4 linked regions of the Notamacropus eugenii genome follow. The main gene of each other region encodes a partner of the protein of the gene in region 2 in a complex. Links are inferred from orthologs where the notes say so. Each region holds a gene or a part of one and is shown on either strand. Other genes may lie near its edges.

The links.
Region 1: RBL1 (region 2) and TFDP2 share a complex: the UniProt entries of both Homo sapiens proteins name them as parts of the DREAM complex. The link is inferred for Notamacropus eugenii from reciprocal best matches to the Homo sapiens genes RBL1 and TFDP2.
Region 3: RBL1 (region 2) and LIN52 share a complex: the UniProt entries of both Homo sapiens proteins name them as parts of the DREAM complex. The link is inferred for Notamacropus eugenii from reciprocal best matches to the Homo sapiens genes RBL1 and LIN52.
Region 4: RBL1 (region 2) and E2F4 share a complex: the UniProt entries of both Homo sapiens proteins name them as parts of the DREAM complex. The link is inferred for Notamacropus eugenii from reciprocal best matches to the Homo sapiens genes RBL1 and E2F4.

What each region holds. Positions count from the first base shown.
Region 1 is NC_092877.1:330,407,370-330,414,870, reverse strand, and holds the start of TFDP2 (transcription factor Dp-2), read left to right. Parts: upstream 1-4,349; 5' UTR 4,350-4,511; exon of another isoform or gene 4,512-4,524; intron 4,525-4,630; exon of another isoform or gene 4,631-4,881; intron 4,882-7,501. UniProt on the Homo sapiens protein: Can stimulate E2F-dependent transcription.
Region 2 is NC_092872.1:427,722,227-427,730,420, reverse strand, and holds the start of RBL1 (retinoblastoma-like protein 1), read left to right. Parts: upstream 1-4,765; 5' UTR 4,766-6,831; coding exon 6,832-7,476; intron 7,477-8,194. UniProt on the Homo sapiens protein: Key regulator of entry into cell division. Directly involved in heterochromatin formation by maintaining overall chromatin structure and, in particular, that of constitutive heterochromatin by stabilizing histone methylation.
Region 3 is NC_092878.1:56,577,005-56,584,350, reverse strand, and holds the start of LIN52 (protein lin-52 homolog), read right to left. Parts: upstream 3,112-7,346; 5' UTR 3,067-3,111; coding exon of another isoform or gene 3,035-3,066; coding exon 3,004-3,034; coding exon of another isoform or gene 2,929-3,003; exon of another isoform or gene 2,910-2,928; intron 2,897-2,909; exon of another isoform or gene 2,669-2,896; intron 1-2,668. Other genes in the region: ALDH6A1 (methylmalonate-semialdehyde/malonate-semialdehyde dehydrogenase [acylating], mitochondrial), read left to right, coding at 2,929-3,066, 3,556-3,690, 5,515-5,574.
Region 4 is NC_092872.1:695,050,274-695,058,393, forward strand, and holds the start of E2F4 (transcription factor E2F4), read left to right. Parts: upstream 1-4,738; 5' UTR 4,739-4,851; coding exon 4,852-4,992; intron 4,993-6,545; coding exon 6,546-6,655; intron 6,656-6,849; coding exon 6,850-7,011; intron 7,012-8,120. Other genes in the region: EXOC3L1 (exocyst complex component 3-like protein), read right to left, coding at 1-558, 1,172-1,391, 1,606-1,769, 2,361-2,406. UniProt on the Homo sapiens protein: Transcription activator that binds DNA cooperatively with DP proteins through the E2 recognition site, 5'-TTTC[CG]CGC-3' found in the promoter region of a number of genes whose products are involved in cell cycle regulation or in DNA replication.

The sequences.
Region 1 (7,501 bases), on a different chromosome or scaffold from region 2:
TGGATTCAACCATTCTGGAGAGCAATTTGGAACTATGCCCAAAGGGCTATAAAACCATGCATACCTTTTGACTTAGCAGTGCCACAACTGGGTCTGTATCCAAAAAGAGTTAAAAAATAAAAGGGAAAAGGACCTACATGTAGGGCAATATATATTGTGCACCAGGCACTGTGCTAAGAGCTGGGAATAGAAAGGCACACTTGAACTTTTCCTACTCTGAAAGCACTTGAATTCTAATGAGAGAGATGACATGGCTGTTTCTAAATAAATACATAACATGGTGGTTTCTAAGCATATACATAACACACTGAATACTTGAAGTATAAGGTAGTTTTGTGAGGGAGTGCCTGAGCACCTGTGGGGATCAGGAAACATTTCATGTAGATAGTGCTGATTTAGTCATCCATCAATGATGGTGAGAGTTAGTGAACTGTGGAGGGGAATCCCAGCAGAATTCTGCTTGCAATATGTTAAGTTTGAGATGTCCATGGAATACACTGTTTGAAATGTCCAGTAATTAGTTGGTAATGTGGGTCTGGGACTTAGAAAACAAAAAGGAAGTGAAGAAACATTTTTGTTCTCATAAAAAAGCCCTGGGCCAGGACACATATGAGCTGACTAGTAGAATATATTAGTATACATGTATACTTTATTAAGCATATATTATTAAAGTATATTTTATACTTTATAGGTAGTACACTTTATGAAGTGTAGGCATTATTGATGTAGCTAGATGGTACCATGATTCATAGAGCATCAGGCCTGGAGTCAGGCTGATTCATCTTCCTGAGTTCAAATCTGGCCTCAGACATGTGGCTATGTGACCCTGGGCAAGTCACTTCACCCTATTTGTCTTAGTTTCTTCATTTGTGAAATGAGCTGGGGAAGGAAATGGCAAACCACTCCAGTATCTTTGCCAAGAAAAACTCCAAATGGGGTCACAGAGAGTTGGATACAACTGAAAATGACTGAATAACAACAATAACATTATTGATACCTATCTGATTAATTTTAAGTAGATTTGGTTAGGCATGGATAATATAAAATAAACACTGAAGTTCTCATCTCTAGAATCATGGTGGAATGGACAAAGTACGGATTTTGGTCTGAGAAAGCATAAATTTTTATTAGTGGCCATGTGAATTTGAGTAAATCATTTCCTCTCAGCCTCATTCCTCATCTGCAAATGAAAATATTTGTACCACTTGCCTCAACAGGTTGTGAAGAATGTAATAAGTAAGCCATATTGTACTGTGTAAATCTGAGTGATGATAATGACATAAAAAAATCTCTCTTTTCTTGTCCCATTATATAATTACTGATTAAAGCAATGAGGAGGAAAAGAGAGCAATGGCTATTAAGGCAAAAGGGAAAAAATCCTTTTTCATTAATTGTGAAGCTAATTTTACCATCACTGGACCAAAATTGGCACTAGGTACCTATTTAGGAATTTTTAAATGTTATATTAATTTTCCTTTCCCCTCCCCCCAGAAAAACTTCCACAAGTTACTTTTTCCTGAAAGGTTTTCAGGGTCTTTTTTTTAAAAACTACATTAGTAAGTTGTCCTTTATCCTGGAAGGAACTGACTTTCTGTGGAACTAGCAACTACAGGTTTTTATGGTTTACTCTGCTTAGGTCATGGAAATTCATAGGCAGATCACATCACTGATACACAGTAGATGGAAATTTTGTTACATTCCACTGTTCCTTTTATTTTACATTGTGTCTGAGTAAGTTATATGAAAGATATTTAAGTTAGTTTTTTTTACAAGTTATTTTGCTCAAAAGAATATTGGCTTTAGCAGATTTTGAATGAAATTGAGGCACAATCTTAAACAGTAATCATTATCTTCTCTAAGCCTGCCTTCTCTTCTCCCACACTCATTTCCCCTTTTCATTTGAAGACACCATTGGACTCCCAATTATCTGGGTTATAATCTCAGTTATCAGCCCTCATTTCTAAATCCTCATCAAATCCTGTGGATCTGACTTCCATATCTCTTCTATTCTTTTTTTCTCCAAAGTATCAATAGTCTTGTTCAAACTTTTGTCATACTTCACCTACACAATTGTTAAATTGTTAGCCTCCTAATTAGTTTCTGTACTTCCAGTCTCCCATCTTCAATCCACTCTCCACAAGGATTCCAAAATAATCTTCCAAAGGTACCAGTATGGCCATGTCATTCCTTTGCTCAAAACCTTTCAGTAGCTCCCTATGACCTTTGGTACAGAATGCAAACTCCTCTGCCTGGCATTTGAGGTTCTCAACAATTTGGTTCCAGTCCTACAGCCTCATTTCACATTATTCTCCTTCTTGTTTTATGTAATATAGGATCCAGCTGAACTAGCCTATTAGCTGCTCTTCAGATGCAACATTCTATCATCTGCCTTCATGTATCCACACAAGCCGCCACTCATATTTGCAGTTCACTCCTTATCCATACCCCTCAGAAGCCTTATTTTCTTGCCATCTTCTCTGTGAAGTGAGCCTATCCTCATCCAGTGATTAGGGGTCTCTTCCTCCTTGAATTACTTGTGTACATGTTGTATTCTCCCAGTAGAGGAAACAACAGTACTCTCTCAGTAGAGTGTGTGTCCTGGAGGTGGGGTGGAGGTCCAGGGGTATATATTCTGCATCTCCATCATTTTGCATAGTGTCTTTCACATAGGGACATTAAAAATACTTGTATTGAATTGGCTTATAAATGTTCTAGTTTTTGTTAATGAAGCAATGATTGCTTTAGGATTTGTGTATTTAAAAATTATTCAAGGTGACATTAATTTGCCATTATTTAGCTTTCAACTCCCTTGACTTTACCTGTTTATTTCTCTTCTGAAAGAATGCTTAGCTCTGAGACCTATGTTTTAAGAGACATATTGATAAACTAGAGTCGAGAGGGTAACCAGGATAGTGAGGCAAACTCAAAAAACTCAAAAGCAAATCTTACTAAAACAAAAACAAAGAACAGACTGAAGGTTTGTTTGAAGGTGGTGTTTAATCTGAAGAAAAGAAAATATGATAGATGTGATCAGTTTTCTAACATCTGAAAGGTTGAGAACCAGGAATTAACTTGCCCTGGAGGGTAGACCTAGGAATTTACAGAGAGGTTGATTTCAGCTCAACAGAAGGAACACGTTTGTTATGCTTAGAGCTGATGAAAATGGAATGGCCAGTCTCTTGCAGTGTCTGAGTTATCCATTCCTGGGGACTAAAGGACCTCCCATGGGGACTGTTATATAGAGGGAATTCATCGGTGGGAACTTGGTCTGCCTGGCTTCTGAGGTCTTAAAAATCTGATTCAGTTACTCCTGATGTTGTCCTCATGCCCTTTCTTGGTATGAGGAAAAATCCAAAGTCCATTCATCACTGCTTCACCCAGTCTGATTTACTTACTTCCTTTCAACAACAATTGAATCCTGTCTCTGGGGTTCCTTATTTGGATTGGTTTTATGTAGGTGCCTCATTCCAGGCTCCCAGGGGTGTGAATGGATTGGTATGATTTGAGAGAAGTTAAGAAAGGTGGAGGTCTCCTATTGTATGCTGGGCCATCTCTAGCCTATTCTGATCTATCTCTTAAATCCAATTCACTTACAAGTCATGGCAACATCTTCCTGATGTCATGGTCCTCTTTGGGAATGAAAGTTTTACCTGCTCAGATAGGGAAGTTTGGTGGGAAGGAAGAACTAGGTCTTGGATGTATAATTCCTTGCGGACTCACCCTGCCATCAGAAAGTGAGCTCACTGAGGGCAGGACCATGGTTTCCACCTTTCTGTGCATCCCCAGCACTTAGCACGTAAGCAGACTTTCAACACGTGCTTTCTGGCCGCTGGGGGTTTCAGCAGAGGATAGACCCCGGCCTCAGGATGTCCAAGCCTGCCTCAGTTTCTCCATCTGTCAATAGGAATAATAATTCATAATAAGAGCATCCTTCCCTGGATGGCTGCGAGGATCACAGGAGATGTTATTTGTAAGGCACTTTGCAAGCACTCAAGGGTTACATGTGCGGGATTTGAACTAGTCTTTCCGACTCCAGGCCCGGAGCCATCTGTTGCGCCTCCGGCCCTTTCCTTGGAAGGGGCTGGAATTTCCTGCAGAAAATCTGGAGGCCGGGCTAGCCACAGGCCACGCTCCTTTCGGCCACTCCCCATGGGCGGGGTTTGATGCAAGCCCCACCCCCAGAGCGCTTTTTCCCTCCTTCCCCACCCCTCCCCACCCCTGCCACGGGCTCCTCCCCCTCCCGCTGTCACCTCGTGGCTTGGGCTCGGGCGGGACGTTCGGCCCCGCCCCCCTGCCCACCCCACCTTTCCCCGCCCTCATTGGGAAGCCAGGGGGCGGGGTTTGTTTACACCCCGCACGCATCGCCAGCCAGACCAATCGGCGGGCAGCAGCGCCTGACGTCACGCGGCCCGGTGTCCAACCGGAGCGCGCAGTACCCAGCCCCCGCCAAAGCTCGCGCGGGGGAAGAGAGAGGAGAGTTGATCCGGGCCCCGGGGCCGACCGCCCGCGAGGTGAGAGGAGCAGGTGGGCCTGAGCCGGGCTTGGGGCGCGGCAGCTGTTCCCGACGCTCGGCGAAGGGGGGCGACGAGAGCCCGGGGTGGGAGGGGGAGCAGGGCCGCGCACGGGTGGCGGGGCGCACGCGCGCGCGGGCGGGCACGAGGCTGCTGGAGGCTGCGTGCGCACGGCCGGCCGGTCTCGCGGGCTCTCGAGCCCCGGCGCCTTCGCCCCCGGACCCCCGGGAATGAGTCCGCAGACCGCCGGCGGCCCCAGTCCAGCCGAGGAGCTGCTGCGGCAGCGGCTCGGGGTAGCTCCCTCGCCCCCTTCGCGTCGTGGGCCGGACGCGAGCCCCTCAGGCCGCCTTCTCCACGGCTACGCCGGCAGGTAACGTCCCCCTTCCCCCCAGCGCTCGGTCCTCGCGTGGTCGCGGCAGCGCTGTGGGGTTGCCGTGGGTGGGTGGGGCGGGGTCCGAGGAAGTGAGCCCCTGGCTCTCACCCCTCCCTCATGACTGGGGAACCCCCCACGTGCCCCTCTCGAGAGGCTTCCCCTCTTTTATTTCCACGCGCGCTGTCCCTTCCGTCCCCGGAGCGGGACGCAGGAACCTACGTGTTGGTGCTTACGCGGGGGCCGAGAGCTGGACCGGGACACCCTCCCATTTGTGGGGGGCACCCCCGGCAGGAGAGCGACTTTGCTGGCTTTTCGATGCCTTCTGGGGTGAAGGACCCCAGCTCAAGATCTTGTAGCTCCTCCAGAGGCACTTCCCCACCCGAGAATCGTGGAGCGTCCCATTTCTCGTGCTGACCACCAGTCGGAGGCATTTATCCAAACTGAAGCTTTCGCTTTGTTCCCCCCTATCCTTTCCTATGCTTTTAAATTTAATTCCTGCGTTCACCTTTTTCTCAACAACTGTAATTCCCCAGTGGTAACTGTTTTAGAGATCTATAGATTGGACCATCTTTTCCACGGAGCTTTATCAGAGAATTCAGAGCTGGGAGGGACCTCAAAGGTTATGTATCTTGTCTACCCCCTTTCCCATGGAAAATGAATCAGATGTTATCAATATGTAAACTTGAATTCCCTTTCCTTTTTTCAGGGTCTTTGAGGTCTCCCAAAATATCACTGAACCTTCCAAGTACTTCAATCCTGTGTTCTTCCTCTCCCTGAAAAAGTTAATAGCTTAGTTTCTGGGGTTTTTTCTCCTTCTATAAACTTTAGTCTTATAGTCATAATCTGATCTCTTTTCAAATCATTTCCTGTACCATTTATCATTTTTGCTGGTCTCTCAGTTAGAGTCTGATAGAGGTTTAGAGAAGAAGGATGATCTTCAGATCCATTCCCTTTTACAGATGAGGAAACTGTTGCCTTGAAAGATGAAACAACCTGCTTGCTCAAGGTCGCATGGCTTAAATTGCTGCTAGGATCTTCACTCTTCTGATTTCAAACCTTGTATTCTTTTCTTCTTACCAGGCTGCCTCTAATCTGGAAATAATAGATCATGTCATAATTTTAAAGGTGGAAAGAACCTTAGAGGTCATCCATTCCAGCTCCCTCGTTATACAGATAAGAAAACTTAGGACCAGTGAATTGCCCAAGGTCACATAGGGAGAAAATGACAAAGCTGGGATTTGAATCTAGAGTCTTTGATTCCAAATCCAGTGTACTTTCTACTGTTATGTGTTGTATCTAAATCCTGTGTCAGCTAAAGAAAATAGTAGAATTAATTGTAGAATTTATAACTTGAAGGGACCTTTGAGATCATCTAGTTTACCTTCCCACTCCCATGGAAAAGGAACTTAGTGTTATTTATCAGTGTTAAAATACTATAAGATCAGAATCAGTGATGTTCCCAAATAGCAAAGCAAAACCTTATGTTGGAAAGCAAAATGCAGATTGTTTCTGTTATTTGTCCTAGATTCTCTTCGAAGTTGGTGTGCTGTTTTTAAGACAACTGTTATCTTAAAAGAGACATGTATAGTACACATTTTTGTGGATGTGTATCTTGTATTTCATAATTATGAAATAGTGGACATTTCTAAAGTGTTTTGACATTTGCCTAAGAAACTTTAGGCTTTGTAGATTCTTTTGCAGCCAAAACAATTAAGTTTTTGCTATGTATTACATGATCTTATGCCTGGAACCAGATTTTGGTCTTAATGTCTTTACTTAGGTAGCAACCTTTTCTCTGATTTAGGACTACTGTTTCTATTTTAAAACAAATCCCGTAAGTCTCACAGACTCAGTAAATTCTTCTTCAATTTTCTCTATTGATGTTAGGAGCAAACAAATTTGTTAGAAGGAAATTATCTAGATCGAGCCCCTCATTTTACAGATGAGGAAGTTGGCCCAAATAGGTTATAATTGCTTAGTCAGTATCATGCAGGTAGTATTATGTTATTGTAGCCATTTAATTTGTATCTATTTTTTAATAGGGCTTTCTGGACGCCTGTAGATTTTTCCTTTGCAGCCAGAATTCTTAAAGCCCTCAAATATGAACTTAAAAACAATCAAGAAGTGAGATACACAGATAAAAATCTCTGCTGCCTTAATAAATGGAAAGTGGTTTCTTATTACCAAAACTATAATAAATAGGACTGATGATAGTGATGTAATTTAGATTAGAAAAAAGCATTTACATTTGGTACCCTTGAAAATTCAAAAGGTTCTTTCATTAATACGAGTTTTATAACTTGCATTTGAAATTTTTTTCCCTCATAAAGATACATGTCCTTGGTTGGTATTGGTTTTGTAGAACACTAGCTGATCATATCAGTTCAATTTTGTCAGCAGCAAAAGCAGTAAGAATTAATATTAAGTTTTGGAAGTGTGGGTTCCAAGCAAATTTCTGATGCGGGTATCATCTTAAATACTTGGGGTATTACTTTAAATCCTTTAAGTGTCATTTTAAATACTAAGATCTTAGAATATGTTTGACATTTTTGAAAAGTGACAAGTTCATTCATTTTTTGAGTCTATATGTATGTAACTTTTTTAAGTTGAGAAGCAT
Region 2 (8,194 bases):
TTTGAGCTCATGTTTGCTTTTCCTATTTCTTATGCCCTCTTCATGTATTTGTCAATGGTATATGAAATAAAATTTATGTTAAAAACAAAACAAAAAGAAAAAGCTCTAAAAATATCCATATCTGCACCTGACTGAGCAAGGTCTCTCAAGAAATAAACTTTTATTTGTTGGAATACCATAAAATGTTCACTATGATCAGTTGCCATATATGTGAAAATACTCTAGTATTGAAGGAAGTACAGGATGGAACTCACTCATATAATACCATGAACAAACTGGCTGCTCTCCCTTTTGTAAGTGTCTTAGCATGTAAAATTTCTAGACCTTAGTGACAAATAAATTTGCTTTTAGATATGAAAATTTATATTTTAATGTTATTTTTCACCACCTAAAGAGAGATGACACTGCCTTCATATCTTAAATAATAGCAATATTACTGAAGCTCCAGTGTGTGTGCTGTTTTCATATTGACTGTGCTCATCAGTAAAATACTTGAAACATAAATGCTTCATACACATCATGTAGGATGGCCCACTTTTAATTTTATGCCTGATTCTAATCATTACAGTAAATTCAAGCAATTTAACAAGAGGTTGCTATACAGCATTTTTTTTTCCACTTTCATCCAAAGAACAAAAGGGATAGGTCAAAGAACTGTGGTGATAAAGGAAGATGAGCTAGGTTAAATTTAGTTTGGGGTAGGAAGTAACTTGACTGCCTGGCTGTGAAAACTAGCATGAGAGGAAAAGAATGAAAGAAATAGGTTTTATATATGTAGCCTTTTTAAAAGCCTAAAATAACAAGTGTCCAAAACTCCTCTTAACTGAGGTGTCTGAAGTACTTGAAAGTGAAATTTTTGGATAATTTGGCTTGTTGCATCTTAAAGCTTGACATTCCCTTTCAGGCACTGATTTCTTTACTCTTTTAGAATGACTCCTTAAATGAAATTAAACACCAGGCCTATGTCTAAGTGACTCCTGTTGTTGCAAAGCTAGGGTTTGAGGCTTTGGTAAGGAAAGTTTACCTCCTTAATTTTGGAATTAAGTATAGCAAATGCTGATGGGAAGTACCTTGATCTTTATGCCCTCTGTGGCTAGATAGTCACTTGAAGATCTTAGTAGCCAGAAATAACCCCCTGGAGATGGCCTTTGATTTGTTGGACAGTGACCTAAAAAAATGCAACTATACTGTTTTCAAGTCTGTGTGCTCTTCAATTTATCTTTTTCCTGCTCAAAGACTACAAAATATGTAAGTAAAAGTTGATCCAGAACTCAAGAATTTTAACTTCCAAGCAACCCATTACTGCTTCCTCCCCTCAAAAACTACCTAGCCAATTTCTTCTCCCAGCAAGAATGGTGAGCCCAGGGCTGGCCCCCTCCCCTGTCAAGATCAACTGCCCCTTTTTGACCGTTGGAATGTCAGGTGTTTGGATTTTTCTGAGGGGCAATGCTGCATTTGTTCTAAAGGATCACTGAAATATTAAATATGGTAACAGCAACTATTTAACTCCACTATTAGATATCCCTTGAGGGTTTAAATAAACATAGCAATATACGTGATTGATGAATAATGTTGTCTTGTGTTTAGGTCTAGGAGTCCATGCAAGGGTAGATTCGTTTCATTATTCTTTTCTATTCAGAAAGCCTAAGCTCGTATTAGATAAAATGAGCAAACTCTAAGGTAATAGGCAAAATGTGTTTATGGAAAAATCCCTTTCATTTTATATGTGATTATTAAAGCATTTGTCATAGACTTGTACTCCATGCTGGGAGGGAGGGGTCCAAAGAAGGATAATAATGATGTAAAAACAGAATCCCTACTCTCAAGCAGCTTTCCCAAGAAGAGAATAGCAGCAACCAAACTCAATCCATAGTCATTTATTAAGCACCTATGTGCTGGGAACTGGTTTTATAGATAACTGTGAAATAGATCCTGCTTTTAAGGAACTTATATTCTGTTAGAGTAGGACTAATAGAACTCCATCAACCAGAGACTATAAAGGTTATAGATTTTAATATACCTGTATGTATTAAGGAACTCAAAACAAGGTAAGGAATGATTCTGAAAAGTGAGTCAAAAAAGGAACAAAAGCTAATAGTAAGATGATATAGAAACCATTCTAAGGAGAGGGAAAAGTATGAGTAATATTTAGGGGAAGATCAGCCCAGCTACAACCTAGACAGTATGATATGAATACCAAAAAATGAAGTCAGACAGCAAAGAGCCTCCAGGCTAGGATGAGTTTAAGCTTTGGAGTGACTGGATTCCTAAACAGGGAGTATGCTGATCAGTGTGAGAATGCTTAACTTGAAATTAGGATATGTGATTGATTAGGAGATGGAAAAGATTATAAGGCAAAAAGATGAATGAGGTGAGAATTTAACCAAATGGCATGGAGGTAGAAATCAAGAGAAATAGCTGATCCTATTTAATTTAACAAGCATGAAGGGCCCATACCTGGCCAGGCATTGTACTAGGTATGGGGACTAAAGAGATAAAATAAGCTGTTCCTGCCCTTTGGAGAGAAATAATATGTACACACATAAATATAAAAGATATGCAAAGAAATTTGAGGTACTAGGGGGTATTGGTCTAATATAAAGGACAACATTATCAATAAGACAGGAGTTCCCAAGGTACCACATCACACCTATCAGATTCTCTAACATGACAAAACAGGAAGATGATAAATGTTGGAGAAGATGTGGGAGAGTTGGAACACTAATTCATTGTTGGTGGAGCTGTGAGTTGATCCAACCATTCTGGAGAGCAATTTGGAATTAGGTCCAAAAGGCTATAAAAATGTGCATACCCTTTGACTCAGCAATATCACTTCTAGGACTGAATCCCAAAGAAATCATAAAAATGAGAAAGGATCCCACATGTACAAAAATATGTATAGCAGCTCTCTTTGTGGTGGCCAAGAACTGGAAATCAAGGGAATGCCCATCAATTGGGGAATGGCTGAACAAGTTGTGGTAGATGAATATAATGGAATACTATTGTGCTACAAGAAATGGTGAACAGGAAGACTTCAGAGAGGCCCGGAAGGACTTATATGAATTGATGCTGAGTGAAAGGAGCAGAACCAGGAGAACATTGTACATAGTAACAACCAGAGTGTGCAAAGAATTTTTCTGGTAGACTTAACCTTCACAGCAATGCAAGGACCTAAAACATTCCCAAAGGACTTGAGGCAAAATGCCATCCACATCCAGAGAAAGAACTATGAAATTGGAAAGCAGAATGAAGTAGAATATTTTCTCTTGTGTTATGTTTTGTTTTGTTTGGGTTTTTCTCATAGCTTCTCCCATTCATTTTAATTCTTCCATGCAACATGACTAACATGAAAATGTATTTAATAAGAATGTATGGGTAGAACCCATATAAGATTGCATGCTGTCTGTCTGGGGAGGGAGTGGGGAGGGAGGAGGAGCAAATCTAAGACTTATGGAAGTGATTGTAGAAAACTGCAAACAAATAAATTTTAAAAAGAAAAATTAGAAAAAATAAGACAGGAATTCTAGAGTGGGAAGAAGGGAACAAGTAATTATGTGATACCTCTCATGGACGAGGCCTCATGCTAAGTGCTCTTAAAATTATCATCTCATTTGATCTTCACAACAACCCTGCCAGGTAGGTGTTATTATTATTACCATTTTACAGTTGAGGAAATAGAGATTGAGTGACTTACTCAGAATCACCCAGCTAGTAAGAGTCGAAGGCTGGATTTCTGACACCAGGTCTGGTGCTCTATCCACTGCACCAACAGTTGACTGAGTACAATAGAAAAGTAGAAAAAAATAGACTAATGACTCCAGAGAGTTTTGGTTAGGGCTAACATGGATGGATATGAGGGAGCATGGAGCTATAGTGAGAGAAACTTCAACATACTCACCCAACTGAAGCACAGAGATATTGTCATAAGGCAATACTAGTAATGTATTTGATTATCAGTCCTTGAGAAGAAGGCAGGGGATGGGGAGGTATGTACACTTGAGGTAGCAGAGCAGATGTCCTTGGTCCTGCCTGATGGTCAAGGCAAGGGTCAATGTAGACCTGGGACCGTATTAATTATAGAGGGAGATGGTATATTGTAGGTGCTCATTCTCAGCTAGTTCAGTTCAGCTCAGCTCTACACAGTATTCATTCCAAGGCTGAATAGCTTAGCTCTAGACTGCTGGAGGGCCTTTTTTTCCTAGACCAGTGACCAGCAAGAAGTAGGAGAAACCATAGAGCATATATCCATCCAGTTCTTCATCTTGTGTGATGGTCACAAGCAGAGATCAATGGAGTAGATGAACTTTAGAGATAGCAAAGGAATCAGACTGATAATAACAAAGGGCAGGGGGTGAATGAAAGTCAAAGGTAACATATAAGACAACATATAAGAAAAATGGAGCTATTTCATTGAGTAAGCATACTATTATTGACTCATCCCTAGTCAGGTACTGTCAGCAATCTGGCACCACTAAACCTCTTCATTTTTATTTCATACTCCTCCCTATACTTTACCTAGTCCATGCTACAAACAAACTCAAATTTCCTGTTACGTTTGGGATCTTTGGTTGGAATGCTTCCTTTGTAATTGGTTCATTTTTATGAACCACATTATCTTGTAGTTGCAGTCTAGATGAAATGAAAACATGAGAGATACCTACATGAAAATTGCAAAGAATTTCCCTACTCCAATTAGTCTCTTCTTAAATGGATACCATGATCCTTCTAGTTGACAGGTCTAGCAGTGCATCCTTTGATTTTCTTTTGTTTTTCAGTTCCTTTTCTTTTTTATTCTCTGCCATAGAGTGTTGTCTTTGTTGAGTTGTTTCAATGGTGTTTAACTCTCATAAGTTTAACCCCCATAAGGGGTTTTCTTGGTAAAGATATGGGAGTGGTTTGCCATTTCCTTCTCTGGCTCATTTTACAGATGAGGAAACCTGAGGTAAATGATCTTAAGTAACTTGCCCAGGGTCACCCAGCTAGTGTTTGAGACCAGACATGAACTTATAAGGATGCATCTTCCCGATTCTAAGCCCGTGCTCTATCCACTTTACCACTAGCTGCATGCTATGGAGCAGGGAAGATCAAATTGCTTTTCAATTAGGGACAGTGATTTGAAAGTAGCTGCTAAGAGTTGGTCAAATATTTCCTCTTCACCTTCTACGTGATTTTTCCTGGGTCCACCTTCACTATATCGTGGGTAAAAATAATCAGCCTTTAAAGCATCGCTGTCTCATTTTAAACAACTCCTTTAAGATAAAGTCTGAGATAAGGGGAAAGATCTGACCTGGAATCAGAGGTCCTGTTTTCACATCCTAACTCTATGGCTTACAAACTTTTTGATGTCCTCAGTTCTGAGTTTGAGGCCTCAGTTCTCATCTGTAAATTGAAGGAGTTGGTCCCTAAATCTTATGGTTCTTGATTTGGAGGTAGCCAAGTGGTCTTGGAGCACTGGACTTGGATTGATCTGAACTTGAAGCCTGCTTCAGATACTAGCTGAGTGACTGTGGGCAAGTCACTTAACCTCTCTTGTTCTCATTTTCTTCATTTGCTTGTGAAAGGCCTCCAAAACCCCACCTCTTCCTGCCTGTCCAGTCCTCTTACACCTTATCCCCCCATACATACTCTATGACTCCTGAGCATTTTAACTGCCTGTCTCCCATTCCTGAAATGCTCTCCTTCCTCTTTTAGTTTTGCCTCTCGGCTTCCCGAGTTTCTTTCTGGTCTCAGTTAAAATCCCACCTTTTTCAAGAATTTTTCCCTAATCCTCCTTAATCTTAGGACCTTCTCTTTGAGATCATCAATTTACCCTGCATATATTATATTCATACATGGCTGTTGTGTTTTCTGCTCCCCTCCCCAGGTGAACTTCTTGAGACCAGGTACTACTATGTCTTTCTTCGTGTCCTCAGTGCTTAGCAGTGCCCAGAACAAAGGAGGTGCTTAATAAATGCTAGTTAACTGACTCCATACCATGGGAATGATAATAGCACCTAACTCAAATGAGTTAACATACAGATAGGTGCCACACCGTTACATATATTTATGTATATACACACATAATATCCACATATACCTATAAAATGAGATAAGGTTTTGCAAACCTTAAAAAGCGATATGTAAATGCTACCTATTATTCAGCGACTCGTCATTGGCTGCAGATCCTTTGGATTTCAAAATAAGAATAATGATTATATAGAATAGAATGTAAAGTTTGAAAATTTAAAACGAGGAGTTTCATCAGTGTTGTTTTGTTTTTGTTTTTAACAAAGAAAATGAAATCTGGACCGACCTAAAGAAGCTGGAGGGCGGATTTTGGTTCAGTAAAGAGTGTTCATTTAGGGCTTCCAACTCTCGAACGGTCCCCTCTGGGAGATGGCGAGGTCTCTGCGCCTGGCAGGCTCCACTTGGAGGTCAGAGGTGGGGGTGGACCCCGCAGAGCGAACTCCTGCTCAGGTAACAAAACAAAAACAAAGCAAACCCCTCCCCACCCCCGGGCTTCCAACGTCCTCCTGTGCTTCATTTTCCCTTGTCTCCCATCCTCGGACGAAGACAGTGGAGGACTGCAGTTCTTCACCTGAAATTCGCATTATTTTCCCGTTCTGAGAAGGGGGTCCGTGACACACAAGAGGATCAGCGTCCCGGCCGAGGCATCGTCGCCCCGGGGCGCACGGATGAAGCTGCCTGGAAGGCCTGGAGGACGGGCTGATGCGCTGGGAGGGCGAGGGGGCTCCCTACACACTTTTAGTTTAATCTACGTTATTCGTATGTTCTCCATCACTTTCTCAACTCAACCAAACCCGTTTGCCGTCCTCGACGTAAGCGCCCACAATGGGCTCTGGAGCTATCGTTAGCACCCCTGGAGAAGGATCTCGGCAGGGGGGGCCCAGGCGGGTGGGAGAAACTCAGCCCACGAGGTCCGGTTCAGGGGGCTCCAGCAGCCCGGACATGCCGGTCCTCCTCCCCCTCCCGTCCGCCACGACAGGATGCGGACTACAATTCCCGACAGGCCCTGGAGCAGAAGCTCAGTTTGAACTTTTTGGACAGACCAGCGGCTACCTCCCAGGCCGAAACCCTCTTCCCAGCAGTGTTCGGACGGAGGCAGGAGGGGTCCGGGAGGTGAGCCGGCCCCCGAGAGAAGGGACTCGAAGGGCGGGGCTGTCACGCAGCTCCGCAAGGCCCCGCCCCTTTCCGGGACAGAGTTTTCGCGCGCTTTGGCGCGGGGGATTGTGGGGGAGCCGTGGCCACCGGGAGTGTGAGGCGGACGCGGGCGGCGTAGGCGCCGAGCGCCGGCCGCCGAAGCCCGGGGCCACGGGCGGGATGTTTCAGGACGAGCTGCGCAGCCTGGGGGCGGCCGGGGCTGGGGCCGCCCGGGAGGCGCTGCAGGCCCTGTGTCAGGAGCTGAACCTAGACGAGGGCAGCGCGGCCGAAGCCCTGGGCGACTTCATGGCCATCCGCAGCACCTACAGTCTGGAGGTGAGAGCCAGGGCGCGAGGCCGGGGAGGAGGCGCCTGCGCCCCCCGCCCCCACCCCTCCCGGGCCCGCGGGCCCCCGCTCGCTGCTCCTGGCCCCGCTGGAACCACTCGGGCTGGAGAGTCGAAGTCCACCGCTGTCACCGCCCTGGGGCTCCGGATCTGCCCGGGCGGAGGGAGGGGGGCAGAGGGGCAACGTCTCCCCCTCCCGCCTCCGACTGACAGCCCTTTAAATGCTGCAGTCCGGGCTTCTGGGCCCGCCCAGCCCCGCCCGCTTTTCTCCCAAACCTTTATTGTGCTGTCAGCCCTTCCAGAGTGACTTTGCCCTCCTCCTGGCTCCTCCTTGCCCTGGACCCCCCACCTCCCCACTCGGAGCCCCTCACCCCGCTTCCTTCTAAACTCGGCTAAAGTCCCACCTGCTGCAAGAAAGCTTTCCTAGGCTTTCCTCTGAGACCACCCTAGTTTATCCTGTATCTGTCCTATTTGTACACAGTTGTTAGCAGGTTGTCTTTCCCCTGCCCCCCCAACTCCTTGAGACGGGTGTGGGAGGGGGAGAGAGGCGGGGTGGGGGGGAGAGCTGGGTTTTGTTTTTCTTTATGTCCTCATCACTTAGCACATTGCCGGGCAAACTGTAGGTGCTTAATATTAGTAGTAGTAGTATGCTTTCGAATCAGTTGATCTCAAGTTTCAGCTAGTGAGTGTCAGCGGTGGGATTCGAACCT
Region 3 (7,346 bases), on a different chromosome or scaffold from region 2:
AGTGGGATACTTTTTTCTGATTTCAGAGAATTGCACCTATTTGCTTTCCCCTCCCAACATCCTTCCTCTAAATAGAAATCAGATTACCTAATTTTGTATCATGGTTAATTTTCTTTTAATTAATTGGTCTCATAAGATTGTTTTTAATGTATAAAAGCCTGTCTCCCCTTGGAGTTGGGGTTCCATGCCAAAGTTGAGGAAAGTAAATGGTACCAAATTGTTGGGCAATTAAGGATGCTTATTAAAGGAAGCAATTAAACTGATATGCTCAGGAAAAAAAAAAAAAGAACTCCACTCTTCTAATCACCCAGAGTCATCCTCAACTGCAACCTCAGAGTAATCCTAAACTCTTCATATTCAGTCACATTCAAGCAGTAGTTAATTCTTGTGGATTCTACCTCTTTAACCTGTCTCCTAGCACAGTAAATAGAGTGCCAGGCCTAGAGTCAGGAAGATGAGTCTTCTTGAGTTTAAATCTGGCTTCAAACACTTCCTGGCTGTAACACCCTGGGCAAGACACTTATCCCTGTTTGTCTCAATTTCCTCATCTGTAAAATGAATTGAAGAAAAAAATGGCAAAGCACCATCTTGGCCAAGAAAATCACAAATGGGGTCACAAAGAGTCAGACACAACTGAAGGACAACAATAAAAACCTCTCATATCCATTCTCTCTTTTTCTTCACATCCTAACTACCCCAGTGCAAGCTTGCTTGTCATCACTTGCCTGGACTACTGCAACAGCTTCCCAATTTGTCTCCCTATCTCTTATTTCTCTCCTCTCCAATGAATCTTCCATAATGCTGACAAATTTATATTCCTAAGACATTGGTCTATGTCATGCCACTGCTCAAAAGTACAGTGGCTCCCCATTTGCCTTGAGGATAAAGATGAAACACCTCTGTTCAGCATTTTACAACCTGGTTCCAGCTGGCTTAGCCTACTTGCTATTCCTCATAAATGGTATTTGATCTCCTGCCTCTGCACCTTTGCATAGTCTATCCCCTTATCCCTAGTATTTTCTTTCTTCACCTTTGCCCCTGGGAATCCCTAAATCCCTTCAAGACTTCAAGAGGCCAGGGAAACACAGTGATCAAGACTGTAAATATGACTGGGATGAATTCACACTTAAAATAGAAGCAGACAGCAGAATAGATTAGAAATGTGAATCCAATATGTTCTTTAGAAGAGACGCATTTAAAATTAAAGACACAGAGTTAAAATAAGGGGCTGGAGCAGATGCTATTATGCTTCATATGAAATTTAAAAAAAGAGGAGTAACAAACAGGACCTCAGACAAAGCAAAAGCAAAACCAGAAGATATAATCAGGGAAACTACATTTTGCTAAACAGTACCATAGAGAATGAGTAATACCAAAAGTTTTTACAGCAAGTTTTCTGCTAACGGCCTCATTTCTCAACCCTATGGGGAACTGAGCTAAATTTATAAAAATAAGAGCCATTCATCAAGCAGTTATCAGAAGAAATCAAAGCTCTTAACAGTCATTTGAAAAAATGTCCCAGATCACAATTGATCTGAAATGCAAATTAAAAGAATTCTGAGGTACCACTTTATACCTATCAGATTGACTAACATGACAGAAAAGAAAAATGACAAATGCTGGAGGGAATGTGGAAAATCAGGGACGCTAATACACTGTAGGAGGATTTGTGAACTGGTCCAACTACTCTGAAGAACAATTTGGAACTATACTTAAACAGCTATAAAACAGCATATTCTTTGACCCAGTACCACCGTTATTAGGTCTGCAACCCAAAGAGATCAAAGAAAGTCAGAGAACCTATAAGTGCAAAAAATATTTATAGCAGCTTTTCTGAGGTAGTGGCAAAGAATTTGAAATTGAGGCAACGCCCATCAATTGGAAAATGGCTGAATAAGCTCTGGTGTATGATCGTAGGGAATAGTGTTGCACTCTCAGAAACGACCAGCTGGACGGTTTCAGAACAGCCTGTGAAGACCTATATGAACTGATGCAGAATCAGATCAAGGACACAGGAACAGCAGCACTGAAATGAGGATCAGCTGCAAAAGATATTCAGGGTCGGGGATCCTTCAGCCTCCAGCCACAAGTGGCCCTCTGAACCCTGATTAGCTACTCCCACCAAGACCCTCTGGACTGGGGTGAAAAACGCTCTCCACCCCCAGAACTGACGAATTCTGAGGGCAAACCGGAGTACACATTTTTTCACCTTATTTTTCTTGGGTTTTGGAGATATGGCTAATATGGAAATGTTTTGCACAATCTCACATGGATAACGGATATCATTTCGCTTCCCTTCTCAATGGGGAGGGGGCGCCGGAGGAAGAGAGGGAAAGGATTTAGAACTCAAGAAATATTTTGAAAAGAATGCTAAAAATAAAATTTTTAAAAAGTTCTTATAAAAGAGATGTAGCCCCGATCTATCTCCGCGGCTTCTCCTTTCTCCAGTGAAATGGATCAACTGCTAGTGCCAAGGCGGCCGAATCTGACTGAAGGCACACTTTGGCGGCGCAGGGTTTCTTCTACAAGTTAGCAAGCCCGGGTTCTCCATCTCGTGAACCCTGCCAGCTGGGGCCTCCTTTGCCCCGCCCCCTCCGCCTCCACGCCCGCCCCTCCACCCTCCACGCCCCGCCCCCTCCGCCCTCCACGCCCCGCCCCACCCCCTCCGTCAGGCTTCTCTCCTTCCGACCCGCGGCACACCAGCAGGCTCCTCCGCAGGGCAAGGAGGGCCGCCCCTGCTCCGCCTCTCCGCCCCAGGAGTGTCTGCTCAGTCTGGCCCCTATTCCCCCGTCACCGGGGCTACTCCCTGCTCACCACGGCAAACCCACCGCGGCGGGGGGCCGGAAAGCTGGAAGTAGAGGAGGAGTCGGGATAGCGAGGAAAAGGAGAGACGAGGGTGGGTACTGAAGGTGGGGAAGGAAGCCTTAGATGGTAAGGAAAGGAGGTTCCCGGGAGAGGAGAGAAGAAAAACTGGGAAATCGTAGGCTCTTAGCCGGCTCCTACCGTCTGTGGGAGACGCCATCTTCCGACCCATGTCACGTGACACAGCCAACCGTCGGCGGGAAAGTGAGCGGCAAGCACCGCCCCTAGAACTTACCCAGGCCCCGCCCCATTCCTCCTGCCCCAATCAGTGAGACCGATGGCCTAGCACCGCCCCATGCCTTCCCCTCCCACTCGTTTCCCCCTCCACCCCTTCGCCACACTCCCTGACTTAAGCCGACCGGGGCCAAAATTCCCAGTTCTTGTTTACATTCCTCCCCTCCGGGAGGCGGGGCCGAACTCTCGCCCGGTGGCCAATCCGAGCTCCCCGTAAGGAGGCGTCTTCATTCCGTGCTGGAGGCCCGAAAACAAGGGGGCGTCTTCCCCTCCTCGACCAATCGAAGCAGCCTAGAGGGACGGAGGGGGGATGGGGGCGCGGACCGAATTCTCCGTTTGGGATCCGCGGCTTACTTTCCCCGATGAGCCTCGGCGGACGGGGGTGGGGGCGTGGGCGTGGAAGGAGGCCGCGCTGAGTGATTGGCCGGAATCAGGGGCCGCCTCCTCCTCCTCCCCCAGGGAAAGGCGAGTGAGGCGGGGTCAGGTGGCGGTCTGGCTGGGAAGCGATCCGGTGACGGGCTGAAGCTGGCGGCCATGGCGGGAGTAACGGCGGCTGCGGCGGCGGCGGCGGGCTTGCGAGCCCGCGTGCTTCGGGTGAGAAAAGGCGGGGAGCCTCTGGACAGACTGGGCTCCTGCCCGCGTCCAGCGCCGGGTCTGCGTCCCCGGGCTCCAGCCCCCCCACTCCTGACGATCTCGGCCGGCGGCCAGCCCACCTCTGGCGCGCGAGACCTGATGGTTTTTACCCTGGCCTTGAACTCCTCTTCGCCGGCCTGGTGACTGTGCCCCTGTGGGGGCGCCCTGCCCCGTGAAGAACGGGGAGTCTTCAGCCGGGGTGCAGCGGCGGGCGGCTCGTATGGGTTTCCCGGGTGATCCTGTGTGTGTTACCGTACGCCTTTTGAAAGCGTCCTGATGAGGAGTCTGGAGGCTTTCAAAGACGGCCCTGGGGGTCCCTGAGGCGCAGCCCCCCCTCCGGCGCCCGGGCTGCCCTCCGAGCTCCGGCGTTGTTGGGGGGTGCCTTTGGCCGCAGAGCTCCTTCCTCATCTCTCTGCATTTTGGGGGCATTCTGTTAACTTAGCATTCCAAGTGCAGGCATTTCTGGCTGGACAAAGTGCGGCCGGGCCTTTAAACGCACCCTTACCCCAGTTCCGTGGAGGCTTTGGTTTTCGTGCTTTCTGTAGTTTCGGAGTGTAAACGCTTCCAGCTAAATACGGCCTTCCTCGGAGCAGACAGACCGTAAAGCAGAACCAGCCAGCACGGGGACAAACTGAGTCAAATGTTCCATCTTTTTCCGGTTTTTCTGGTCTGATAGGTTTCTTCCCAGATAACCCTACCTGGGTTTATGTCATAGCTTTTTGCTCTTTGTCAGTCACACGTTCCAAGATGAAGAGGTTGATTCTCAGAATCTAATTTGGCACCAAATCCTCTTTATTGTCAAGATTGGATCTAGAATAGCATTTCCTTTCACTTCCTTCCATTTTTGAAAAATGAAATTATCTTTAAGACATATCGTGTTCTTAACAATTAGATTCAGAAAAACTGATGAAGAAAGTAAACAGACAAGGAGAACTGTCAACACAATGACTTCAGTAATGTAAAGGAAGGTCATAATAAATATGAAAACTTCGACCAGCGAAAGGACCCCAAGATGACTGGGTGATTATGAAACACATCTCCTTGGTAGAGAATGAGGTGGTTCTGATCGTTATGGTGGTTTGGTTTAACTTTTTTGTTGCAAGCTACGGTTCTGCTAGACAGTTACTGGAAAGTGAAAATGTTTTTAAAAGCATCAATAAAACTTTTTTTTCCATTTTAGCACCTGCTCTGCTCTAGCTGACTACTTTAGGATACATCTAGATGAAGATAGTAACATAGTTAACATCTATATAACTCTAAAGGATCTGTCAACATCTTTACATATTTAATCTCATTTGATGAATGAGGTCTTTTACTACTAATACCTTCGTGCCATGTTTATGATCTCTTCCTCAAGTTTATCATTTGTACCCTTCTACTTGAATATGTTCCCATCCCAATGTTTTTAAACTCCGTTGATCTTCACCCAAATGTTCTTCACCATTATTTCCTCTTGTCTCACTTATGAATTCTCTAACTTAAATGTGTATTCTTAGTATGGAGTGCTTTCATAAGTGCCTCTTAGTTAATGTGTTCCTTTTGAATAAGGTATACCCTTCTGTTCCAATGTTCTAATCTTTAATACTGTCCTACCAACTCTCAGTGATACTTAGGAGCTTAAATCTAGCATTTTGCATTAACTAGTTCCTCTGTTATCCTTGATATTTTTTGTAGTATTTGGCTTTGTGGATATAACTGGCCTGTTCTCTCTCCACTACAGTTTTTCATTGAATTTCTACTCCAAAAATGATAAAATCTCCCTCTTTCTTTCTTTTGGTTTCATAGGTTTCTTCTAAGATAAACCCTACCTGGTACCCAGCATCCTTTTTTTCCTCATCTTCAGTGGTAAGTTCATGCTGGCAAAAAGGCCGGTTTATGGTGGTTGCTCTAGTTGATCTTTCTGATCCTTAGGAAAAGGAATTTCTTTTTCCTGTGGTATTGTCTCTTAAAAGGTATACCTACATCTATGTGTACAAAAATATATATAGCATCTGTCTTTATGGTAGCAAAGAATTGAAAATTGCAAGGATGTCCATCAGTTGGGGAATGGCTGAACAAGTTGCAGTATACGATTGTAATGTACTACTGTGCTTTAAGAAATGATAAGCAGGGGGAAATTAGAAGTAAACACTTTTGAAGAGGGACAAGGTCAAAAGAGAGAGAATAGAATAAATGAGGGGCAGTTTAGGATGGAGGGAAATATAGTTAGCCTTTCACAACATGACTTGTATGGAAGTCTTTTGCATAACTACACAGGTATAACCTATATTGAATTGCTTACCTTCTCGGTGGGGATGGATGGGGAGGGAGGAAGGGAGAGAAGTTGGAAGTCCAAGTTTTAAAAACGAATGTTAAAAATTGTTTTTACATGCAACTGGGAAATAAATACAGGTAATGGGGTATAGAAATCTATCTTGCCTCACAAGAAGAGAGAAGATGGGGATAAGGGAAGGGGGAGGGGTGTGATAGAAGGGAGGGCAGATTAGGGGAAGGGGTGATCAGAATGCAGAGTGTCTTGGGGTGGGGAGAGATGGGGCGAAAATGTGGTACTCAAAATCTTGTGGAAATGAATGTTGAAACTATAAATAAATTTTAAAAAAAGAAATGATGAGCAGGATGATTTCAGAAAAATCGGGAAAGTCTTAAACAAATGATACAGAATGAATTAAGCAGAACTAGGAGAACATACATAGTAACAGCAATATTGTATGATGATCAACTGTAAATGAAACTTAGCTCTTCTCAGCAATACAATGATCCAAGACCATATCAAGGGATTCATGATGAAAAAAGCTATCTTATTCCCACGAAAGGACTGATAGAGCCTGAATGCAAATCGAAGCACACTATTTTTCACTATTTTGTTTGAGTGGATTGTGTTTTTTTGGAGAGGGGAGGGGTCTGTTTTCTTTCACAATATGGAAATATGCTTTGCATGATTGCACATGGATGACTTGTATCAAATTGATTACCCTCTCAGGGAGGAGGAGCAGAAGAAGGGAGAGAATTTGGAACTTATTTTAAAAAATGAATGTTAACAATTATCTTTTCATGTAATTGGGAAAAAACTAAAATATTCAAAAAAATTTAAGCACCGTATTTCCAATAGTGTTTGATTAACTTATAGAGGCCTTTCAGAGCCTGAGCACAATATGTAATTTCAAAACATCTGCCGTTTCTGTCAGTTAATCAGAGGATCACAAAGAACCTTTTGAATTCATACTTTTCTTATCTTATGGTGAGTGGTGAGTATTACTGCCTACCCCACAAGAGACTGAGACTTGATTCTCTAGATACTTAATAGCTATGTGATTGGGCAAATCACTTAAGTTTCCTGTGCCTCAGTTTTTTCATATGTAATAAGAGTGGGCTGGATTAGATAGATTCTTGATTTCTTTTGGCACTAAATTTATGATTACATGATTCAGTGATTTTTGTTTCCACTACAAAGATCTATCATATTCCTAACAATTTTTAGGAAAAGAGATAATATAGTATGTCAACCTAAGCCATTTCCATTGTCTTAACAATTTAATGGGAATTGGTTAGTCCAACCCTTTCTCCCTACAAATGTTTTGATAGAACAATAATAATTTCAAAATATTCTGAATTTTGAA
Region 4 (8,120 bases), about 270 Mb from region 2:
GGTCCAGAAGCTGCTGCAGGTGCTGGCAGAGGCCCTGGTGCAAGGTGTGGGCCCACAGCTTCACCACTCTGTAATCTCCAGGGCAGCAGGGAGCCACCAGGGCCTCTGCCAGGGCCAGTTCAGCAGGCAGAGCTTCTTGAAGAGTAGCCAGGTGTCCTGCCAGACCTGGAGGGCCAGGGGCTGGTCCCTCAAAGTAGGCTTCCTCAAGGGCCTTCCGAAGGGCCCCAAGGCAGCACTGGCGCCAGGCTCGGGGGCGCCCAGGGGATGATGACTGGAGCTGAATATCCCTTTCCTCCTCAAACTCAGCCACTCGAACTGCAGCTACTAGCAGGGCTGGATCATCTCGTGCCAGCTGCCGAGCTGAACCCACCACCTTCCCCATGGCTAGGCCCAGCTCCTCCCCGAGAGGTGTCAAACCTTCAAAGAGGGATAGCTCAGGTCTCCCAAGTGGGTCTAACACCTCATCCCTTAACTGCTCCAGCTGCCGTAGGACCCCATAGGCCTCCAGGAATCGATTGCCTTTGATCAGGGCCTGGGTTCTGGCCACTGCCTCAGGTACTGAGGAGAGAAGTAGGAAGCAGGAGGTTAGGAAGCAGTCCTGAAATGGGCTGGACATCAGGACTTCTTCAGACCTGTCCTGAACTAGCTATGTGACTTCAGGATATTTACGTCACTTCGTTTCTCTGCGCCTCAGTTTTCTTACTGGTGAAATTCAGTCTTGCAAACATTTATTAAACCCCCATGTGAAAATGAAAATAACATAAAATGAAATTTAAAATAATAAAAAAAACAAGGAAACAAAACCAAACCTCAAAGAACCTTAGGGTTCTTCAGACTTTGTAGCTGATTTACATGATCACTTTGTGGATCAGTCATACATTAGAAAAGTACAGACTTCTTTTCCCCAAGCTCCCTCATTGGTTCAGTCTGGAAAACTGACCGACTGGGTAAGGGGTAAGTGGCCTGACCAAGGTTGGTGCTCAAGGGCAACATGGGCCAGTAGAAAGAACACTGGATTTGAGGTCAGAAGATTTGGGTTTGAATCCTAGCTGCACTATCACTTAAGTTCTCTGGGTCTCCATTTTCTTTTCTGCATTGAATCAGGTGAGCTCGAAGGTGAGCCTCTTCGTCCCTACCCCTGATGAAACCCAGGAACATTATGGGACCTCACCTGCCAAGAGTTGGGGCAGTAGGAGTGTCACCGCCTGCAGCTGTCTATGCTGATTGGCCAGCTCCCGGAGAGGCCCCAGGGTGTGGGCAACTTCAGCCTGTTTCGAGAGTGCCTCCTGGGCCCCAACCAGGGCCTCCCCAGCCTCCTGGACCTCTTTCAGTGCCAGGCCTAGTTGCTGAAGGCCTGTCTGCACACTCTCCAAGTAAGACTGTACAGTTGACTGTGGGGAGAGAGCTTGGAGAGGTCAGTGGTAGATGGCACCCTGCAATGGAGGGGGCAGAGAAGGTCCCTCTGAGCATGATCTGATATGGGTGGGGCACGGTCGTTTGACAGAATTAGGGAAGGGAGAGCCTAGGACAGAATGGGAATGACTGGGACTAGGGATGGATGATGACTTTTAGGGACCCCAAATTCAAGCTTCTCCCTGGCCCCACCTTGATTCGGGATTCGATGGAGCACATTCTCTGGGCTTCTCGGCTTCGGTATTGGTCCAGCCTGGTCAGCTGCTTGGGACTGTAGAAGACGCCTGAGGCCCATTTCAGGGCTGCCCCTCTGGCCAACCTTTCAGCCTTCTCTAGTTCTGGCCACTCAGAGTCTGCTTAGGTGGATAGGGGTGGGGTGGGGGGAGGCAGGAAGAGGCTTCAGCCACAGCTGTTTCCCATCCCTTGTCCCTAACAGGAAGTCACTGGATCTGGGGCCCTGACCTGGTCAGTCTGCCTCTTCTAACACTCCAAGTTTGCCCAAATGCTGAGGTGGGGGTCGGGTTTAGTGGTACTTTATAAATGCACTAAATGCCATATTGTTATGGACTGCAATGTGGTCCATATCAAAGTATCACAGTATTTAGGGCTGAAAAGTCATTAAGTTCAACCCCTCATTTTACAGATGAGAAACTGAGGCCCCAAGAGGTCATGTAAGTTGCTTGTCTAAGATCACACAGCTAGTAAATGGCATGGCCTACAAAAACCTAGGTTCTCCATCCTCTTTCCACTCTGCTTTGCTACCTCTATTGGGTGGTAAGTGGCTGATTGCCCATGCCTGGGAAAACATCCCCACTACACACACTCTCTTCCCCACCAAGGCTGTCTCCAGATGTTCAGAACTTCTCTCAGAGGTCATCCATCCATTCCTCCACCCATCCATCCACTCATTCATCCCAGAGTGACCCCCAGGGGGATCGGCTCATTACCTTGGGGGGCTCCAAATTCCTGCTCCTCCTCCGTATCCATGCCCATGGCTTAGTAAAGGAAGGGTGTGTGGGGTGCTAGGCCTGATATTGGAATTGAGCCTAGCTGTTGGGGGGTTGGGAGATGGTTCAAGCTTGATTATGGAAGCTTGGCTCAGCTGAGCTTAAAAGCCAAAGCGTATTCTTCTCCAGGCAGGCTCCTCTGGGGCAGCACGGTTCCTGCCCAGCCTACTCAGGATATGGGAGGGAGGAGTGTGTGTTGGGGGGATGGGGGTGGAGGAGGGACTGAAGGTGAAGGGGTGGGCACTGGAGCTTGTGGGAAATGCCCTGTGTATGATCCCTAATGTCTAGATAGACAAGAGAGGTGGGAAGAGCGCTGAGTACCAGCCCTAGCCTGGGTAACCGCATCATAGGGCAAGGGCTGAGGGTATTGCTTGTGTATACTACAGCTACACCCTACAGCCTATGCCCCCTCCAGGGAAGTGGCAGCATCCTAGCCCCTTAGCGCCCTCCAGTGTTCATCAAAGTCTGGCTTTCTGACCGCCCCCCCCCCAACTCTATGCCCTAGGGCACCCACCTCTTCCCTTCCCAATGGATCCCAGTAGATTTATGCTTTCCATTCTCCACCTTCTTTACTTCCTTATGTTTTCCTCCTGGGGCTTAGTGGGAGTCAGGGGTATAGGAAATAGCCAGGAACTAGAAGAGAAAGGGAGGAGAGGGGACAGATAACACTTCTGTCTCCATCCCTCTCTGGTATGTGAATCCTTTCTCTCCCTGCTTGTGGTTTCCATTGCAAAAGATCTTAGGGATGATTATGCCTCTGCCCCTGTTGGGGAGAGATCTCAGAGAAGGCAGGGTGGAGTCATCCAGCAGCAGGTGGTGGGTATCATGACAGGTAAGTTTGGATAAATTTAGTGGAACAGAACATGAGAAGTGGCCTGTTATGGGCATGGGTCAGACTGTATAGATGCCTCAGCCAGGGCTAAGGGGAGTGCCTCTTTACCCAGCTGCAGAGATGCCCCAAGAACCCTTTTCTACCTCAGCATAGAAGGAGGATAGCTGATCTTTACCTCCATATGGAGTGCCAGTATATTCTTCTCTCCAGCAGGATGTGGGTCAACCAGCATTTATTAAGTACTTAACTCTGTGCCAAGCATGGTGCTAATCACTTGAGAAACAAAGAAAGGGGAAAAAAAAAATCAGGTCCCTGCCCTCAGGTACCTTACTTTCTAATGCATATTCCTAAATGTATATACAAGACATGTGCCATATAAGTGGAAGGGTGTGAATCTTGACTGGCGGGAGCATGGCATCATGGCCAGCCCCCAGCAAGCAGACTTGGGCAGCAGGACCTGTGAATATGGTGAGAGGTCTGGGACCGCAGAATTGGAATGTGGACTGAGAGGAGGGTAGCCAGAGAGATCCCAGGGACTAGGGCAGGGGTCAACAAACATTTCATTAAGGATATCCACCGTGGCCCTCAGAGATGATGGCTGTGTGTGTTTGTCCTTTGTTACCAAAGAAGACCATGCCATCATGACTTGCACTTGACTTTGTTTTGAGTGAGGGAGGGCTGTGCAGGTTACCAGCCATAAGACTGGAGGTGACCCAGGATGAGGCAATGGGGGTGAAGTGACTTGCCCAAGGTCACACAGCCAGTGAGTGTCAAATGTTGGAGTTGAGATTGGAACTCAGGTCCTCCTGACTCCTGCACTGGTGCTCTACCCACTGCACCACCTAGCTGCCCCGGGGGGATGGTGTAGGAGAGAGGTGGTTGTGGGAGCCACAGGTAAGTGGAAACTTTCTAGGAGCTGGAAAAAAGCATGACACCAGCTAGCACTTACATGGTGAGTTGCAAAGCACTTTACAAACCATATTTAATTTTCTCACAACAACCTTGGGAGGCAGATGCTATTGTTATAATATCCATTTTACACCTTAGGAAACTGAGGCAGGCCGAGGTAAAGCGACTCGTGTAGGGTTACAAGGGTGGTAAGGGACGGAGGCTGCGTTTGAACTCAGGTCTTGGTGGCACGGTGCTGGAAACAGTAGGTGCTTAATCAGTGCTGCTCGACTGACTGACAGAGCCCCTGCTGCCTCCAGTCTACTGCATCATTTAACTGCCTTCTGCCCACCCCGCCCGTGACTCAGGCGGTCTGACCCGATGCCCAGGAGTTTCTCGCCAGATCTGGTAGTTGACGAGTCTGGGTTGTTTTCGCCCTCCGTGAGGGCTGGGCTTTTTCCTACGACCCCTGGAATTCTGCGACTCTCCGGGAGAAAGGGAATCGCACACGGTCCCTGGTGGCGCCAGACGCTAGGAGGCCTACCGGCAGGGGCGCACGCGCGCACGCGCAGGCCTAGAGCTGGGCTCAAACGGAAGTGCAGAGCGGAAGTGTTGAGGGGGCTGCCGGCCGGGCACTGGCGAGCGGAAGCGGAAGTGGCGGCGGCAGGCGGCGGGCGCCGGCCTGGCCTGGGCTTAGGGAGGCAGGCTGCCATGGCGGAGTCCGGGCCGCAGGCGCCCCCGCCGCCGCCTCCCGGGACCCCGAGCCGGCACGAGAAGAGCCTGGGGCTGCTCACGACCAAGTTTGTGTCGCTGCTGCAGGAGGCCAAGGACGGAGTCCTCGACCTGAAACTGGTGCGGACCCGGCCCGGCTCCGAAGTGGGGGACCCTGGGGAGAAGCGAGGGCCGGGGCCGGACACGGGGGAGAAGCGAGGGCCGGAGCTGCACAAGGGGGAGAAGCGAGGGCCGGGGCCGGACACAGGGGAGAAGCGAGGGCCGGGGCCGGACACGGGGGAGAAGCGAGGGCCGGGGCCGGACACGGGGGAGAAGCGAGGGCCGGGGATGCACCAGGGGGAGAAGCGAGGGCCGGGGCCGGACACGGGGGAGAAGCGAGGGCCGGGGATGCACCAGGGGGAGAAGCGAGGGCCGGGGCCGGACACGGGGGAGAAGCGAGGGCCGGGGATGCACCAGGGGGAGAAGCGAGGGCCGGAGCTGCACAAGGGGGAGAAGCGAGGGCCGGGGCCGGACACGGGGGAGAAGCGAGGGCCGGGGATGCACCAGGGGGAGAAGCGAGGGCCGGAGCTGCACAAGGGGGAGAAGCGAGGGCCGGGGCCGGACACGGGGGAGAAGCGAGGGCCGGGGATGCACCAGGGGGAGAAGCGAGGGCCGGAGCTGCACAAGGGGGAGAAGCGAGGGCCGGGGCCGGACACGGGGGAGAAGCGAGGGCCGGGGATGCACCAGGGGGAGAAGCGAGGGCCGGAGCTGCACAAGGGGGAGAAGCGAGGGCCGGGGCCGGACACGGGGGAGAAGCGAGGGCCGGGGATGCACCAGGGGGGAGAAGCGAGGGCCGGGGATGCACAGCGGGTACCCAGGTGAGCGGCTCCCAGAGTCATTGGAAGCAAGTTCTCCTCGTCGCCACCTCTCATCTTTCAAGTCTCAGCCAAAATCCCACCTTGCACAAAAAGCTTTTCCCGATCCACCTTAATGCCTTCCCTCCGCTCATCGTCTCCAGTTTGTCAAGTTCGTAGCTTGTTCCTATGTAGTGATTTGCGTGTCCTTTGAGGGCAGGGACTGTTTTTTGCTTTTTCTTAGTACAGGGCTTCATAAATCCTTGCTAAGAGAGGAGGGAGGTCCAAGAGACGAGGGTCTTGGGGGAATCCTGAAAGGTGGAAATTGGACCAACAGCCTAGGAACAGCTGGAGGAAGAGATGAGGGAGTCAGATCAGAGCATGAATGGAGGAGATCTGAACAAGACAAGGGAGAACTGAAGACTGGGGGGGGGGGGGGAGCAATGACCAGCATGGAGAGAGGAGGAACCCCTGCAAAGTGCAAAAGGCAGGTGAAGGAGGGAGGTCTGGGCGAGACCATCTGCGGAGATGCCCTTCTTTTGCTGGGTCTCTAGAAGAGAAGCAAGCTGGAACAAACCTGGATTTTGGAGCACGGGGCAAGAGAACTGTACCATGCCTGGCAGGGGAAGGTGTTTCAGGCCCATAGGAGAGAGTAGGGCAAACCACAGGTACAGAGAGACATCAGAAGTAAGGAGGAGTTTGGAGACCAAAGTTAACTTCCTAAGATGTCATGTGTGGCTCTGGGCTGCACTGAGCCTGCCCTGCTGAAGTCTGTTGGAGTTGGTGTTGGCTTAAACCGTGGGGACAAATTGAAGCATCTCTCTTTTCTTCCTCCAATAGGCAGCAGATACCTTGGCTGTTCGGCAGAAGCGGAGAATTTATGACATCACGAATGTCCTGGAAGGAATTGGGCTGATTGAAAAGAAGTCTAAGAACAGTATCCAGTGGAAGTGAGTACTGGGGAAGGCAGGGCAGGAGAGATTCTCATGAGAGACTGAGGAGCCTCATTGAGTGAGACAGGTGGGAGGAAGAGGGTTCCTTCATGGAGTGTTGGACCCTGGATGGATGTCTACGCTAGGGGCAGGTACCCTGGGGAGGTAGGTACCATCTCACTCCCCTCTCCCCACTTGGGGACTGTACATAGGGGTGTGGGACCTGGCTGTAACACAAGGGAAATAGCAGACAAGCTCATCGAATTGAAGGCTGAAATTGAGGAGCTTCAACAGCGGGAGCAGGAGCTGGACCAGCACAAGGTGTGGGTGCAGCAGAGCATCCGGAATGTCACTGAAGATGTGCAGAACAACTGATATCCTTCCAGGACCTCCCTCTTCCTCTTTTCCTTCTGTCTCCTCTTCCCCACATTCATTATCCTGGCTCAGATTTAATGGCTGCTCTTCAGGGTTTACAGAGCACTTTTCTTAAAACAGTCCTGTGTGGTTGGTAGTATAAGAATCATCTACATTTAACAAAGGGGAAAATTCTGAAGCTCAAGAGTTGAGCCCCTTTGGTCAAAGCAGTAAACTGTAAGTGTCCAAAGTGTGATTCCCAGCTAGATCAATGGTGTCAGAGCTGCTAGGCCCACAGATTAGGAAGACAACCATCTAGGCTGGGCAAGGCAAGGCAAGAGCTGGTTCTAGTCGTGGAGAGATACAGTCAGGCCGCACCCTGAAGGGTTTGGGGTGTTGGTGAAGAAAGATAGAAGGCAGCAGAATAGTTTTTAAAAAAAGAACGTAAACTATAGTAATAATGCTAATACTAATGGATCCTGTTTTCTGGGGTATAAATACAGATGTAAAATATTTTTCCTACAATTCGGTGAGGAAGGTAGTAAAAAAGCATTATCTCTATTTTACTCATTAAGAAACTGAGCTCCAGAGCAGAGAATTGACTTAAAAGTTTTAGCTGGGATTAAAAACGAGGGCTCCTGACTCCAGGACCATGTGCTTTCTACCACATCATGCGTTAGGAATCCCTCAGTCATGGCTGGCACTAGCTCTCAAGTGCTGGTCCCAGAACCAGTCCCTTTCCTGTCATTCCCTTGGAGTGTGTTGCATTCCCTGTGCCATTGGTCTAATTTGACAGCCTACCTTCCTGACCTGAGGCTCTTTCTGATGGCTTCTCATCATTGTGCCTCTTTCCACTCAGATTAAATTTATCAGTATTTTCTTGGGGACTCTACCATGTAGGCATTGAGAGATGGCCTGAACCCTACATTCATTCTTGTGCTTGTCACATGTCTGGATTGAATTGGAGGCAAAGGCCTCCAGTAAGGAGCTGTCGTCTTTGCTTTGGAGCAGGGCTCCACTGAGCTGCCCTTTCTTTGGACTTGGTTCTGTAGCAGCAGAATCTCTGAGCTTCCCCTTCTTTCAGTACCATGTGGAGTTCCAGAGCTGGGAGGAGAGAATAAATGTTTTC